2 linked regions of the Styela clava genome follow. The protein of the gene in region 1 binds, or shares a complex with, the protein of each later gene. Links are inferred from orthologs where the notes say so. Each region holds a gene or a part of one and is shown in the gene's direction. Other genes may lie near its edges.

What was found.
Region 2: outer dynein arm-docking complex subunit 3-like (region 1) and calaxin-like share a complex: the UniProt entries of both Homo sapiens proteins name them as parts of the outer dynein arm-docking complex. The link is inferred for Styela clava from reciprocal best matches to the Homo sapiens genes ODAD3 and CLXN.

The regions. Positions count from the first base shown.
Region 1 is NC_135254.1:24,000,993-24,008,423, forward strand, and holds the start of outer dynein arm-docking complex subunit 3-like, read left to right. Parts: upstream 1-4,415; 5' UTR 4,416-4,564; coding exon 4,565-4,643; intron 4,644-5,401; coding exon 5,402-5,523; intron 5,524-5,716; coding exon 5,717-5,821; intron 5,822-6,117; coding exon 6,118-6,270; intron 6,271-6,948; coding exon 6,949-7,053; intron 7,054-7,385; coding exon 7,386-7,431. UniProt on the Homo sapiens protein: Component of the outer dynein arm-docking complex (ODA-DC) that mediates outer dynein arms (ODA) binding onto the doublet microtubule. Involved in mediating assembly of both ODAs and their axonemal docking complex onto ciliary microtubules.
Region 2 is NC_135260.1:14,793,003-14,798,733, forward strand, and holds calaxin-like, read left to right. Parts: upstream 1-4,214; 5' UTR 4,215-4,293; coding exon 4,294-4,947; 3' UTR 4,948-5,201; downstream 5,202-5,731. Other genes in the region: transcription factor MafK-like, read right to left, coding at 147-272, 1,487-1,591, 2,332-2,370; NFU1 iron-sulfur cluster scaffold homolog, mitochondrial-like, read right to left, coding at 5,436-5,456. UniProt on the Homo sapiens protein: Component of the outer dynein arm-docking complex (ODA-DC) that mediates outer dynein arms (ODA) binding onto the doublet microtubule. Seems to regulate the assembly of both ODAs and their axonemal docking complex onto ciliary microtubules.

The DNA.
Region 1 (7,431 bases):
CCGCGAGTCATCGGAAAAATTGAAAGTGGACCTTTATGCATAATATTTTTAAAAGTTCGAGAACCACTGATCTAATTCAATACAGATGGGAAAGCAGTTTGTTGGATATACACATCAACCTTACTGGATAATGAAACATCACATGCAAAAGCTTCGGTTTAAAAAACTTTAGCGTAAGCTAGTATCAATCGTTCATGTTTCACTATGAATAGGTCCAGGAATACTCTCGCTCCCACCGTTGGTGATTGTTTAAAACAGTGTTTCCCAACGTGTCAGTCCGCAGACATTGGCTACAAAGCGCAGCGTTCAGGTACTGGTAAGTTACTGTTGCTGTTTAGGTTCGTTCATGATGTCGTATGATTTTGTGGGAATTGATGGCAAAACATTTCGTTATGGACTTTGTGTCCATATGTTTGAGCATAGCTCTCTTGTTAGTTAGTTCTAAATTTTTCAATTTAACAAAGTCAATGAATTTCGTCGTTTTGCATGTCTCTTTGTACATGTAGTCCTATTTAGTAAACGCTAAACCTAATTTTAGAACTTTTTATTGAAAAATATTTCCAATGGGATGGAACGGGCTTACATATCTATGGGATGGGACAGAAAAATATGTCCCATGGACAAGCCTGCAGATCCAAGCGAAAGAGAACAGGAGTTACATTTAGTGGTATGATTCACACTTTTTGTCAGCCAGTTCCATCACAAAAGTCATATTTTTTAGCCGGTTCTGTTACAAAAAGTCATATTTTTTTGGCAAATAAACTGATTTTTTTTAACTACTCCCTAATTAACAATTCAAAAAAATGGTTGGGTAAACATCATTTTGTCAAAATTTTTGATGATGTTTAGGATTGTCTATAAAAATAAAAATATTGCTGTATAGTGTATATATTTATTTTATATTGATCCATTGACAGTAACCAGTAGTTCTAACCGGTTCGCTGATCACATAAAATTCCGTGAGACGGTGCTATAGAACCGATGCGAACCGGCTTAATCCCACCACTGGTTACATTCAAGTGTATCCCATATTTGGAAATATAAAAAAATATGTAGCATGATGAATGATAATTATCCCAAGTCGATCAAGACTCTTCAGGATAGTCATCTTCACTCTTACTACAGCATCCTTGCACTATATGAACACGGATCCACCGACACAAAAAATTAAAGAAACATAATAGTTAGTCCCTGAGACACCCAATCGATAGCACATGATGATAATTGTTTTAATTCAGCTAATGCTGCTGTATGCTGATGTGCATCGCTCCTCTAAAACATTCACATCTATGCTTTTTATGTAAGGGGGAATACTAATCGGTAATAGATTCCTGGAACAGTATAGGTAATTATTTATTTATTGAATATGGTAGTAAATTGAAACTACTCGCAAATATACTTTCTACTGTTGAATAATCACAGCAAAGCAAAAATTTTCTTATGTGAAGTGATCCATTTTCGGGCCCATTTTCTCGAGAAGAGTGTGAAGTAGGTATGTAAACTTTGCGTTTATATTATTAACCTTTTTGACGCATTTTACTATGCACCACAGTCACTAGTTGCTGTCGTTATTTCTATTTAGAAAAGTGGGTTGTTACGGATAAAGTTTTATGACGAATTTAATTATACATATTTTTTTAAGAATATTGGCGTTTACTGCTTACGTATGGTGGACTTTGTTTGCGAGACACGCATTTATAAAAATCAACCCTGCAGAAACCTCGTCGGCATAATTGTTCATTAGGTTAAAGGCATTCATAGCGTTCTGTGTTCTTATTTCGAACCGTATGCTAGTTCTATTGGGAGTTGCACTTGGCAAACGCCGCAGTGGTTTAAAAACATACCAATACCTTCAAAGAATGTCGTTGCATTATTAGAATGACAGTAAACTTAACAAATTGAGGTTGAAAAAAAACTCGATCTCTGTGCCCGACCTACTGCTGTAACATACTTAAAAGTGAAATAACATTCTAGGCTATTTTTTGTTGTCTTAAATCATCTAGATTTAATACTTTATGTGGGTGTTGTCTGTAATTCTGTACCCAGTCTTATTTTGTATATCTGTATATATATCTTATTCAGGTATATATTCAGTTCTTCTCAGGTTACTCTTTTATACACGAGGATTCTCCAACAACGGCCGGGGGAGTGTGTTTTTACATAAAAGACTATGTTGAATATTTCAAAACAGATGAATATAAGCTTAATCTTGTTGGCTGGAAGGATCTGTGGATAAGTGTCAATCTAAACAATAGCAAACAAGTGATTGTACCGGAAATATATAGACATGCCAAACAAGCTCGCAAAAAATTCCACACATTGCTAAACGAGTCGCTGCACAAAATTATGATAAACAAGAAAACAGCTTTCTTTCTTGGCGACTTTAAAATAAATTTGTGCAAAACTTCTGATTCCTTCGTTTTTGAATACTCAAACATGTTACTGTCTAATTCATTACAAGTGTTCACAACTGCGCCTATACCAGAATCACTGATATCTCTTGCACCTCAATTGATCACATATATATACAGCAACGAAAACGATTTACAGTTGTTGGATTATGCCTTGTGGTATGGTATTTCTGACCATCTTTTCAGTGTGTATACTTCGCAATAAACCATTAAAAAAGAATTCAGAGACAAAATTTGTGCGATCATTGAAATACTTCCACCTTGAATCATTTTTGGAAGACATTGAAAACTCAACAGCTAAATTAAATATTGACTGTTTATTCAAGCTTGATATTGAAAAATCATTCGGTACGCTTCTGGAAACTCTAAAATCGGTTGTTGACAAACATGCCGCACTGAGGAAAAAACACCCAAAGAACTGAGATTTGTCTCGAAACCATGTTTCCCAATAGATATCAAGAAATTAATCTCGACTCATAAACGTTTTGTATAAATGTCATTTTTTGTCGACAGACAAATCAAAAATAAGGTATCACAAAAGATACTTCAACATTCTCTCACACATCAAGAAAAAGGCTTAAACGAAATTTTACAAAGCAGAATTTAAAGAACTATAGAGGGCGACAAAAAGAAGACTTGGAGTCTCATTAACACAATCACCAATAAGAAACGTAAACGAAATTTTCCACACGAAATTGAGACAACTCATAGAATCATATACAACCCCCAGTCCATATGCCAAGAATTTAACACTTACTTTGTAAATTTTGGACCTAATCTTGCATCGAAGCTAGCAAATAATTCTATAAATTTTATGAAGTATTTGGGCAAACCTCAGAAAAATTTAATCTATCTGGAGCCTATACTAGAATATGAAATTATTTCCATCGTTAACAAAAAGGATTAAAGAAAGGCTTTTGAACGGACGGTCTGTCTATTCGTTTTCTATAACTTATGATTCGTATCATTAGCAAGGACCTTACAGATTTCTTTAAAGAAGGGTCGCCTAACCCGTGGCCAGCGGAAGCATTTTGAGTGGCCCGCGCCGTATTTTTCAGAATTGGATAAAAAAATTGGAGTAAATCTATTTTTTGAGTGATGTAGTATACAAAGATGTGATACAAACGATTTGTATATTTTCCTGAAATGCGCTCTGCCAGCCCTTGCAAACGAGACATTAGGGTCATTTCGAATCGAAACCAACTTGGAGGAAATATCGATAAATAAAGGTGCCATAGCCGCTTACACACTTGGTCTTTAACTACTCTATATGATGTTATCGCAAAACAATAGAAGCCATTCTCAGATTGAGAATTCGCTAATGAATGTATATTATATATTGTTCGGGTTGCCAATGTTTTACGTCCGGAAATAAAAGAGGTGTTTGCAAAAATAGCCTGTCAAGACAGACCATAACTCGTCATGTCAAAGAACTTGAGAAGTCTAACAGCGGAGACTTCAATTGCAAAGGCGGGAAAATTTTCATCGTATTCCTTGGCGCTTGACGAAAGCACTGGCATCATGTAGTCATCAATGCTGGCATCAAGGTTACTGCTCAGTTGGCGATCTTCTTACGGGGAGTTAATAATGATTTCGAAATTACCGCAGAGCTTGCAGCAATAGTCCTTACTAAGGGCACGACCTGCGGCATTATTGTTCCAATCTTTATGAAACTACGCAACGAGAAACCATAATGAAATGCCAATAACAGAGGTTAAACATCCTACTCGCGAATGCGCGATGAAGTCCTGGAAGGAATTCTCAGTTCCCCGTCATCAAAGGTCCTTTCTGAACTGCGGACGATTTTCGTTAAATGTATTTTTTGAAATTAATAAGTAGAAAACTAAGTCGACTCTATGTAAATAGTAAGCGTCAAAATTTTAAAAAAATATATAAAATGAAATTCATCAAAAATAATTTCTGTGATAACCCACCTTTAACACCTTCTTTTCATATTGACTCCGGTAAGCACTTCTCACTGATGTTTGAGCAAAGTTGTTGCTACCGGCAACGTTTCGTGTTCATTCTCTAAACCGGCACGATTCTGGTTTACGTGATCTGCGCGGTTAGTTGTTTGGAGGTATATTTGTGACTTCAAAGTTATACTTTTATTTCATCGCTGTACCGATATAATACAGCGCCTCAACAGCAATATGAGAGGTCAGTCAGGAATGCATAAACCTCCAATTCAAGAACAAATATCGGAAATCACCAAAAAAATTTCGCTTTTGGGTAAGTTAGTAATTTTTAATTACCGCAGTCCAGAATGGTGTATGTCTGTATCATGGTGTTTTGCGGTATCAAACCCTACACACTGACACATTATTATAATTATTTGTAGCCTATATGTTATTTTCACTCAATGATATACTTTATTTTCACTTAAATTCTGGTAAGTTAGATCAATTGTCAGAATGTTGAATGAACTCATTACAAGTCTCAGTGATCATCACTGCATTTATATATTTGTCATCAGAATATTTTAGTATTATTGTTTTTTATTATCTCTTTTAATCCAAATATCAGTAGGACACAGTTCTCCGATTCCAAGGATAGTCCCCATATTAAAAGACATCAATTATAACAGTGAATGCAACCCATTTCTTCTTGAGACAGTCTGGGCCTCCATACTGACGAAAAACCGGCACTGCACAACAAACTAAAAGACAGCGCAATCCAAAAATGCCTCATATTTTCGTTTTATTGAAAAAAATTTTACCATAGCTTTCGAGAGTTTTTAGCTAAAAACGCCATGATAAATTTAAATTATTGAAACAAGCATGGCCCTTGTCGCCCTTGTTTCAGAGATAAATTGTGTGTTTGTTTTATTGAACCAAATATTAAGACATCTTGGAATCAGAGAACTGTGCTCTATTGAATTTAGTGTGATTTCACTACTGGGTTTGATTTTAACCTCATTTTAAACTTTAGTTTGTCAAAAGATCAAATTTTCTCACTGATCAGTCAACTCATAATTTATATTTTTATAGAGGGTGATCGTAAAGCTTATTATGAAAGTTCACAATGGTCAATCAAGAAGAACAGAGAGATTATCGCGAGAATGAGACAAGAGAATAAAACATTGCACAAGACATTAGCAGATCTGCTTGCGGTAAGTAGCCTATTCTGTGTGAGAATTAAGAATATTTTGTGAATTCTCTGTATCCTCTAGCTAGCATTGTTTACATTTTTAGAAAACAACCTCCAAAGTTTTCAAACTTCACAATCTGTGCAATTTGGCTCATGTTTTTTCAATTACATTCGTGTTTTTTAAATTTGTTGAACATGCTTTTTGATTTGTTCAGGGAGATGATAAAGTTATAGATGAAGCATTTGAAGGTAGACATGTGGAACGAGCAGCATTGCGTAACAAGTCTGGAAAAACTGCTATCATGATTATAGATCAAAAGGTTATTTTATTTATTTTTCAATTTTGACAATATACTTTTATACAACTTCAATATAAAGGTGTTCTTTGGTGAGATTTGTGAAGTGCCTTTCTAGCATGTGACTACTTTGTATCCAAGTCATTCTACAATAAGTTAAACCTGCTATGAGTTGGAATTGACCTAAAATTAAAAGTATTACCAGAAAATTAATTTGAATCTAGTAAAATATTGTATTGTAATATTGTAATCTAAAATTTATCAATTCATGTGTAATTTTATTTGTATTATTGCTCCTAACCTTGTAAAATTATGCCCAGGTTTGTGACAGTAAGAAGAGATTGAATGCTTTGAAATCGACGAGTGAAGCAAGAAAAAGAAAATTGAATGAACTTCAAACCCAACATGATCAGATGGTGAAGGACAAATCAGCTGCTGAAGAGTTAGATAAAGGAGAGAGTGAATCAGCTCAGGTAAATATGATTTTTTTTCATGCGTAAAATAGTTCAATTTTCTTTTGTGATTAGAAATTTGTTTTATTTAACTTAAGGAAAATAATCAATGATAGCATCTTTATTATTTCACACAGCCTTCACACATCATTTCCAATCCTGCAAACAATGCCCAATACAGAGATATTGTGAAATTTGATACTGGTCGATATTTCCTACAGATAATGAGAACATTTTTATGTCAAAATACAATTTGACTTTTCAGTAATAATCTGGTATAGAATTTGAATTGTTAAATCATCGATCAATCCATCTATGAATATTCAATTTTATTCTTGTTATGATTCGTCTGAATTCAAGTTTTAGCAAAACTTAGTCATGCTCACTGTACGACATGAGGTGTACATGCATCATTTTGCTAAATTGTTATTATTGGGAAAATTGTCTTTCACCGCAACAAGGGGATCAATCTCAAATCAATTTCAAATCTTCAGTATTTAAAGATGAAAATAGATGCTAGATGATAATTACTTATATATTGTTTTAATTTTCCATGAGTCATATTGGCCCCCATATTTACCCAAATTTATTTTTTATTTTTTAATTTATGGAAACGCTTTTTACGAAGTATGGAAACACTGGTATATGACCCTTGTGTCAACATATTTGAGAATTGTTTTTATGTTTACATTACAATAGCATTTAAGACAACTGGAAAATCGTTTGGATAAAGCAAGATTAAAAAGTCAGGAAGCAGATCACATCAGTAAAGTTTATGAAAAAATCAAAGCCCATTTACAACAGGTGCGTAAGTCAGTAGAACCTATTCGTGATAAACAGCCGGTTGGAAACTCATTTGCAATAAACAATGTTACACAGTACAATTGCAAAACAGTGATTGCAAGGATCATTTTAGGTAGTTTCATCATTTTATTGTGAGAGAATTATCTTGAAATTCAATTAAATGAAAATTGTTCATTTATTCATTATTCCTATAAAAGCATATGCGAAAGCAAAGGAGTATTAAAATATCAATTATTCAAAACAAAATATTTGTGTCGAACAGATGACAATGGAATTGTTTCTATCACACACATAAGAAGGAACTTGTCTATAAACTGTGTTTATTTTAACAGGAGAGTCTGACTTTCCATAATCAATTAGATGCTCAGGAAGCAGATA
Region 2 (5,731 bases), on another chromosome or scaffold:
CTTGCAAATCGAGTCAAATTGACGTTTTTTCTGCAAAATTTACTATTGATACAGTAAAGTAGTACCGGTGGTTGAATATTCAATATATTTTGACATTTAAGTTATATATATATATATTAATCTGGATAATCATTATTCGCGCCAACCTCTTTTTGCAGCTTCTGTCTTTGTAAATCCAGTTCATCTTTCTGTGTTAATCGTTTGATACGGCATGATGCTGCATAACCACGATTCTTCAATGTTCGCCTTCTCTGTTTTAATCTCCTACTTTCCTATGAAAAAATATTTTGATATATATTTTCAATTTGCATCATAAGAAATCCATTTAGCATATCACTGACACTGCCCTACTTCAGGTAACACATTCCTAAACATTAAGGTGGACCAAGTTTCCACATCAGAAGCAAACCTTCAAAATTTCCAATATGAAATGTAGATGACTGATAAATAAACAGTTGGGTCCACAAATTTTTTAAAATCTATGTTCTAAAAAAAATGATCATTGAAGTCTATCAAGATCAGCAATATTCGGAGTGATAGGCTATGTTCCAATACGCAGCATATACGGTTACAAGAGTAAGCCTTGTGGTAAGCTGTTTATTATATACAGTGCTTTATAATGAATATTGAACGTATAGAACAGTGGTTCTCAAACTTTTTTTGCTCACGGCACACCCAGCAAATAAGAAAAATCTCGCGGCACACTTGTGAAAAATTTGAGCTAGACTTGGACAAATTATTCTACAAATGTTAATGCGATGTGTGTGCCTGTTTTGAGAAACGACTCAAACGAGGGTCCGTCGCTCCCTTTTTTGCTTTTGATTACAGCCAGAGCAGAAAATACAGATTAATAGAGCCATGTAGATGCAAATGGATAGATTATTTTGATGGATTTTGCACCGATGATTGAATAGAATTTGTTAGCAGATAGCCAAAACTCAACCAAACTGGCTTTCCTGTTAGCCTAACTCAGGGGTCTGCAAACTTCGTACTCGCTTGACAGATCGTCATTTGAACGGGAAATGTGTATATTCGGCCCGCAGGTACACAAATTTTGCCGACCACTGGCCTAACTCAACGCTCAATTGAACATAGTGGAAGGTGGATATCATTTTTACAAAAAACATTATCACATCACAACGCAAGTATACTGGAACAATACCCCTTACTACAAGACAAGGCAAATGCAATAATATTATCAGTCTAATTAATTATGGATTATCAAATCTCATAAGTTGCGTGCATGTCTATGTGTAATACAAACAGCTTATTTTCTAGAATTCCAAAAAGCTCCGCGGCACACTTGAGAATCTCTCATGGCACACTAGTGTGCCGCACACAGTTTGAGAAACACTGGTATAGAAACTACTAAATTTCTATTCTTTATATATTTTCCTAACATAACAGGTCTACTTGCTGTATTTTTGTCCATACGTTTCTCTTTTTAAAATCTGTTTTGCTATAATGAAGTATGATTTTATACTACCTCTGGTGTCAGGTTTCGTAAACTTCTGTTAAGATCTCTCACACTCATGTTAAGCAATTCATCATCTGTAAATTGATGTCCTTGTCCAATATTCTCCATCTTGACCTTAAGTTATAGTCAAGTGAGATATACATCAGTACAAACAAAATTAACAGTGACAGTTGAATTAAAGGGTTTCTTTGTCACATATAAATACAAATGTGCCATTCTGAACTGGGAACATAATAGGTTATTAAATGTGCAACTCGTTATTTAAGTTATTTATAGTTTTATTTCAATCTTTCGTCTACAACACAGAATACAAATAAAAAAATAAATAAAGAACACAGACAATGAAGACGGAAAGATCGTGAAAATGGGCAAAACCTAGAGTAATATTTGTAGCCTATTGTTTGTTTGTTTGTGCTTATTCACCCAGACTCAAACAATTGGAAAAAACACATCACAACAATCGTACTTCGTACTTAAAAAGAATGAATTCATAAATAGCATACCATGTTTTTTTAGGACAAGGTCTTATACCAATTTTTTTTCAAATAATAACACTAGGGATTATTTTGGGGGATGGATTTTATTTTCATTTATCAAAAAAACAAAATTACAAAGTACAGAAGTAGACAATTACAAGATTTTTGAATAAATAAAATATGAAAACCGATATCTATTGAACTAAGCTCAGTTTTGTAGTTCGACTGCTGACTAACCGTATTGCAGTACTGAATAAGGTACCGTACAAGAATAGAACACTTTGAGACTAAAAGAGTCTGAAATCTTAGTACTGTAGTACCAGTAGTCTAAAAACACAGAAATATAGCCTAGGTTACTTAGATAGACAGCAAACTTACCTCTGAATTTTTCACAGGCACGTTCTCAGAATCTTCCATCACCTCACACAATGTTTTTTCTCTGACAAAGCTCAAGAATACTGAAACAAGCAGTGTACCCAGATAACAGTTTTAGCACACAGCGAAGGAACTAGAACAGCACAACGTCAAGCGAAAACGAAACTGTGAGTAAATTGCTCTGCAGTGCCACCACGAGTGAGAACATGAACATCAGAATATGGCTTGAAATAAAATGGTAAATTTGCAGAGATTTTATTTCCCCAAATATGGTATGGTATGCACACGGTATGTTAGTCGTTGTTTGCATGACAAAATAATCAGCACATGGGCAATACGTGAATAATAATAACAAAGACTTCAGAAAGAAAACCAAATCAGGAATGAATATAGAATAGATGTAGCATATAATGAAATAGGGACGTCAATTTCGAACGTGACCGAACAAGTCATGAAAACTCCTACATAAATTTGAAATTTTGCTTATACAAAAGTTACTAATGACTACCGACGATATAACAATCATTGTTATATTAAATGTGAAAAAATGGGATGGATTTCAATAAAAAAAATTAATGGTCATTGCATTTAGTTTTGGTAAAATTAGTTTCGATGAAAACCCCCTAACAAGGAATTTCTGCTTATGGCCATGTGATGTACTTATACATAAAGATACTTATATTGAATAACCGAAAAAGTATTTTTTCATAGTTTTGAAATAAATATTTCAACCCTAGTGCCCCAAGATATCGCACACTAACGCTTGGCTTGTACTGTTTTTGTTGGTTGATCATATTTACGGTTGATCTACATCTCAAGTTTTTTCTCAATATCTCACGAGTGCCACCTAGTGATTACATGGTTTCCTTGGATACGAGCATCGCCGCGTTCTTGCTTTCCAGCATTGCTGTGTAGTAAGTAGTCTAAGTTTATCGACTACGTTATACGTCTGTACATATTTTGTTCCGAAAATGCCAATGGAATGGCTGTTACTATTTGTTGGTTTAACATTTCGTGATCACCTACTATATTAAAGAATGATAAAACTGTGTTAGAGGCTGTCAGCAATAGAGATGTTCTTGACATTATCTTCATAACAGTTAACGTTAACCTATAATCTGCTCGCACGCGGAACTGCCCAATGCTTTGTATGTTGTTGAACATATAGCAATTCAGAATCTGCTTTATAATTACCATCTGAATAGTACAGTCAATAACTGGCACTGCCTTCACAGTTGTCCACCCCTGTTTTGTAGTTAACTATGAAACGTGCATTTTGGCAGCTGTTCTCCTGACAAGAAAGCTCCATTAAAAACTGGATTGTGAAAGTCGCCTTTTTGGTCTTTATGTTTTTCCAGTCAACGTATATCATGACTGGGCAAATTATTTATTACAAAATCTATTGGTACCACATAAGGAGTTGTGATTTTGACTTTCAGTGCATTGGGAGTTTTTTAAAAATAATAATATAGTCTAGGCCTACAAGTATATGTTGACTTATTTATTGATATTTGTTTACCATAGTATCAGCCTCAACTATCCTACAATTCCACATGTACTGTTAAAAACAACTCACAAGGTGACTAAAAATCACAACTCAAACCAACCATTGTGGCCGGAAAAATCAGCGGTGCGAAATATCTGTATACCTCCATACCATCTCCCAACAACATATGTTCAAGTGTTCTGTGACTCTAGACCTAAGTAGGTATGAATGATCAAAATTATTGTTCATAATCATCATAGATCTACCAAAAATCAACCACCGCTTCAATATTACAGCAATTTCGTTGACTTCCATTCTAAAGCTTTCATGCTCCTGATAGTTTTTGTAAAAAAAAAATGGAAGATAGGAAAAGGTCAAAAATCTTACTTTGAAACGAAACTATGTCCTGTTCTTTTACAGAGTCATTAGTATGAAAATGAAGTAGAAATTTAAAGTTAAGATATTGTGTATTTGACATAATGTATATCATGAATGGACTTAATAGGAAAAATCTACAAAAAGATGCAGATGATATCTGCAAAGGTGCACCAACACTTCACTTCAATAGAAGAGAAGTCCAAGCCTTGCTTGTGTTGTTCAAAGGTTTCAACAACAAAGGCGAAAAACTTGATCGAAACCAATTTCGAGATTTTTTGCAAGTTTGGTTCAGTATGACAGAAGATCTACTTATGGATCGTGTTTTTCGAGCATTTGACACAGACAGTGACTCTTACATCAACACAAAAGAATGGGTTGAAGGTTTATCTGTTTTCATGAGAGGAACACTTGATGAAAAAATTGATTATACTTTCAAAGTGTATGATCTTAATGGCGATAGTTACATATCGCGTGAGGAAATGTTCCAAATGCTGAAAAATTCTTTAGTAAAGCAACCGACCGAAGAAGATCCAGATGAAGGCGTAAAAGACTTGGTTGAAACAGCATTGAAGAAAATGGATTTTGATCATGACAGTCGTCTTTCATTCGCAGATTTCAAACAAGCAGTTGTAGCAGAAGAACTCCTATTGGAAGCTTTCGGACCCTGTCTACCAGACGAGAAAAGCTTAGAAGTATATGAAGCTAAACTAGCAGATGTTGCAATGGATTTTACAGATTTCTCCTCCAAAAACTAAGTACATTTTAAGCAGATTTAAATTTTTACCAAAGTATGACTAACCATTGAAAAAATTTTCTGAACTTAAATAACTGCACAAGATTCCGCATAAAAGTATTTGGCAATATATGACGAGGTACTAGTACAATTCAGGCCTGATGAGCACATTACTAGCTTAATATGTTATAGCAGTCACTAATAAAACCTTTCCATTCTATACATTATTAGCAAGGCCAAGTTGGTTTTTCCTAACCAATTGCCTGCATATACCATTTACTCCGAATAAAAGAAGTCTATTGTTTTAAATATATGTGTTTATTTATTGCGATAGTATATGTAAATAAAATTATAGGTGATATTTAACTTGAACATTTATATAACTGTAAAATTGGCAGCTGTAGAAGCAGCCAGTATTTTCATTTGTTCTCTCCATCACATTTTCTTTGGCAACGCGGTAAATGAACTATCAACTCATATCGAAAAGCAAGACAAACCTTGGAACTAATATCATGTGGGAGTGGAAGTTATCTGAAAAAAAAATATTGATCTTAACATTTTGTAAATGTGTAGCGCAAAGTATTTCAATGAATTTTCTTAATAAACTTGTTGCACAAATTATAAAAAATCAATGATCTGTGAATTTTCAATTCTGAAAGAGCAGTGTAAATATTTCTAACAATCTGTTGCTTTCAGTATAGTGATGCTTGACACGTCGATATTACAGAGGGTCGGAAGTCACTATGCCAAACTAGTCAAAATCATTGTTTGGGGGGCAGTTAACTCAAAAAGAATTATCTGCTGAA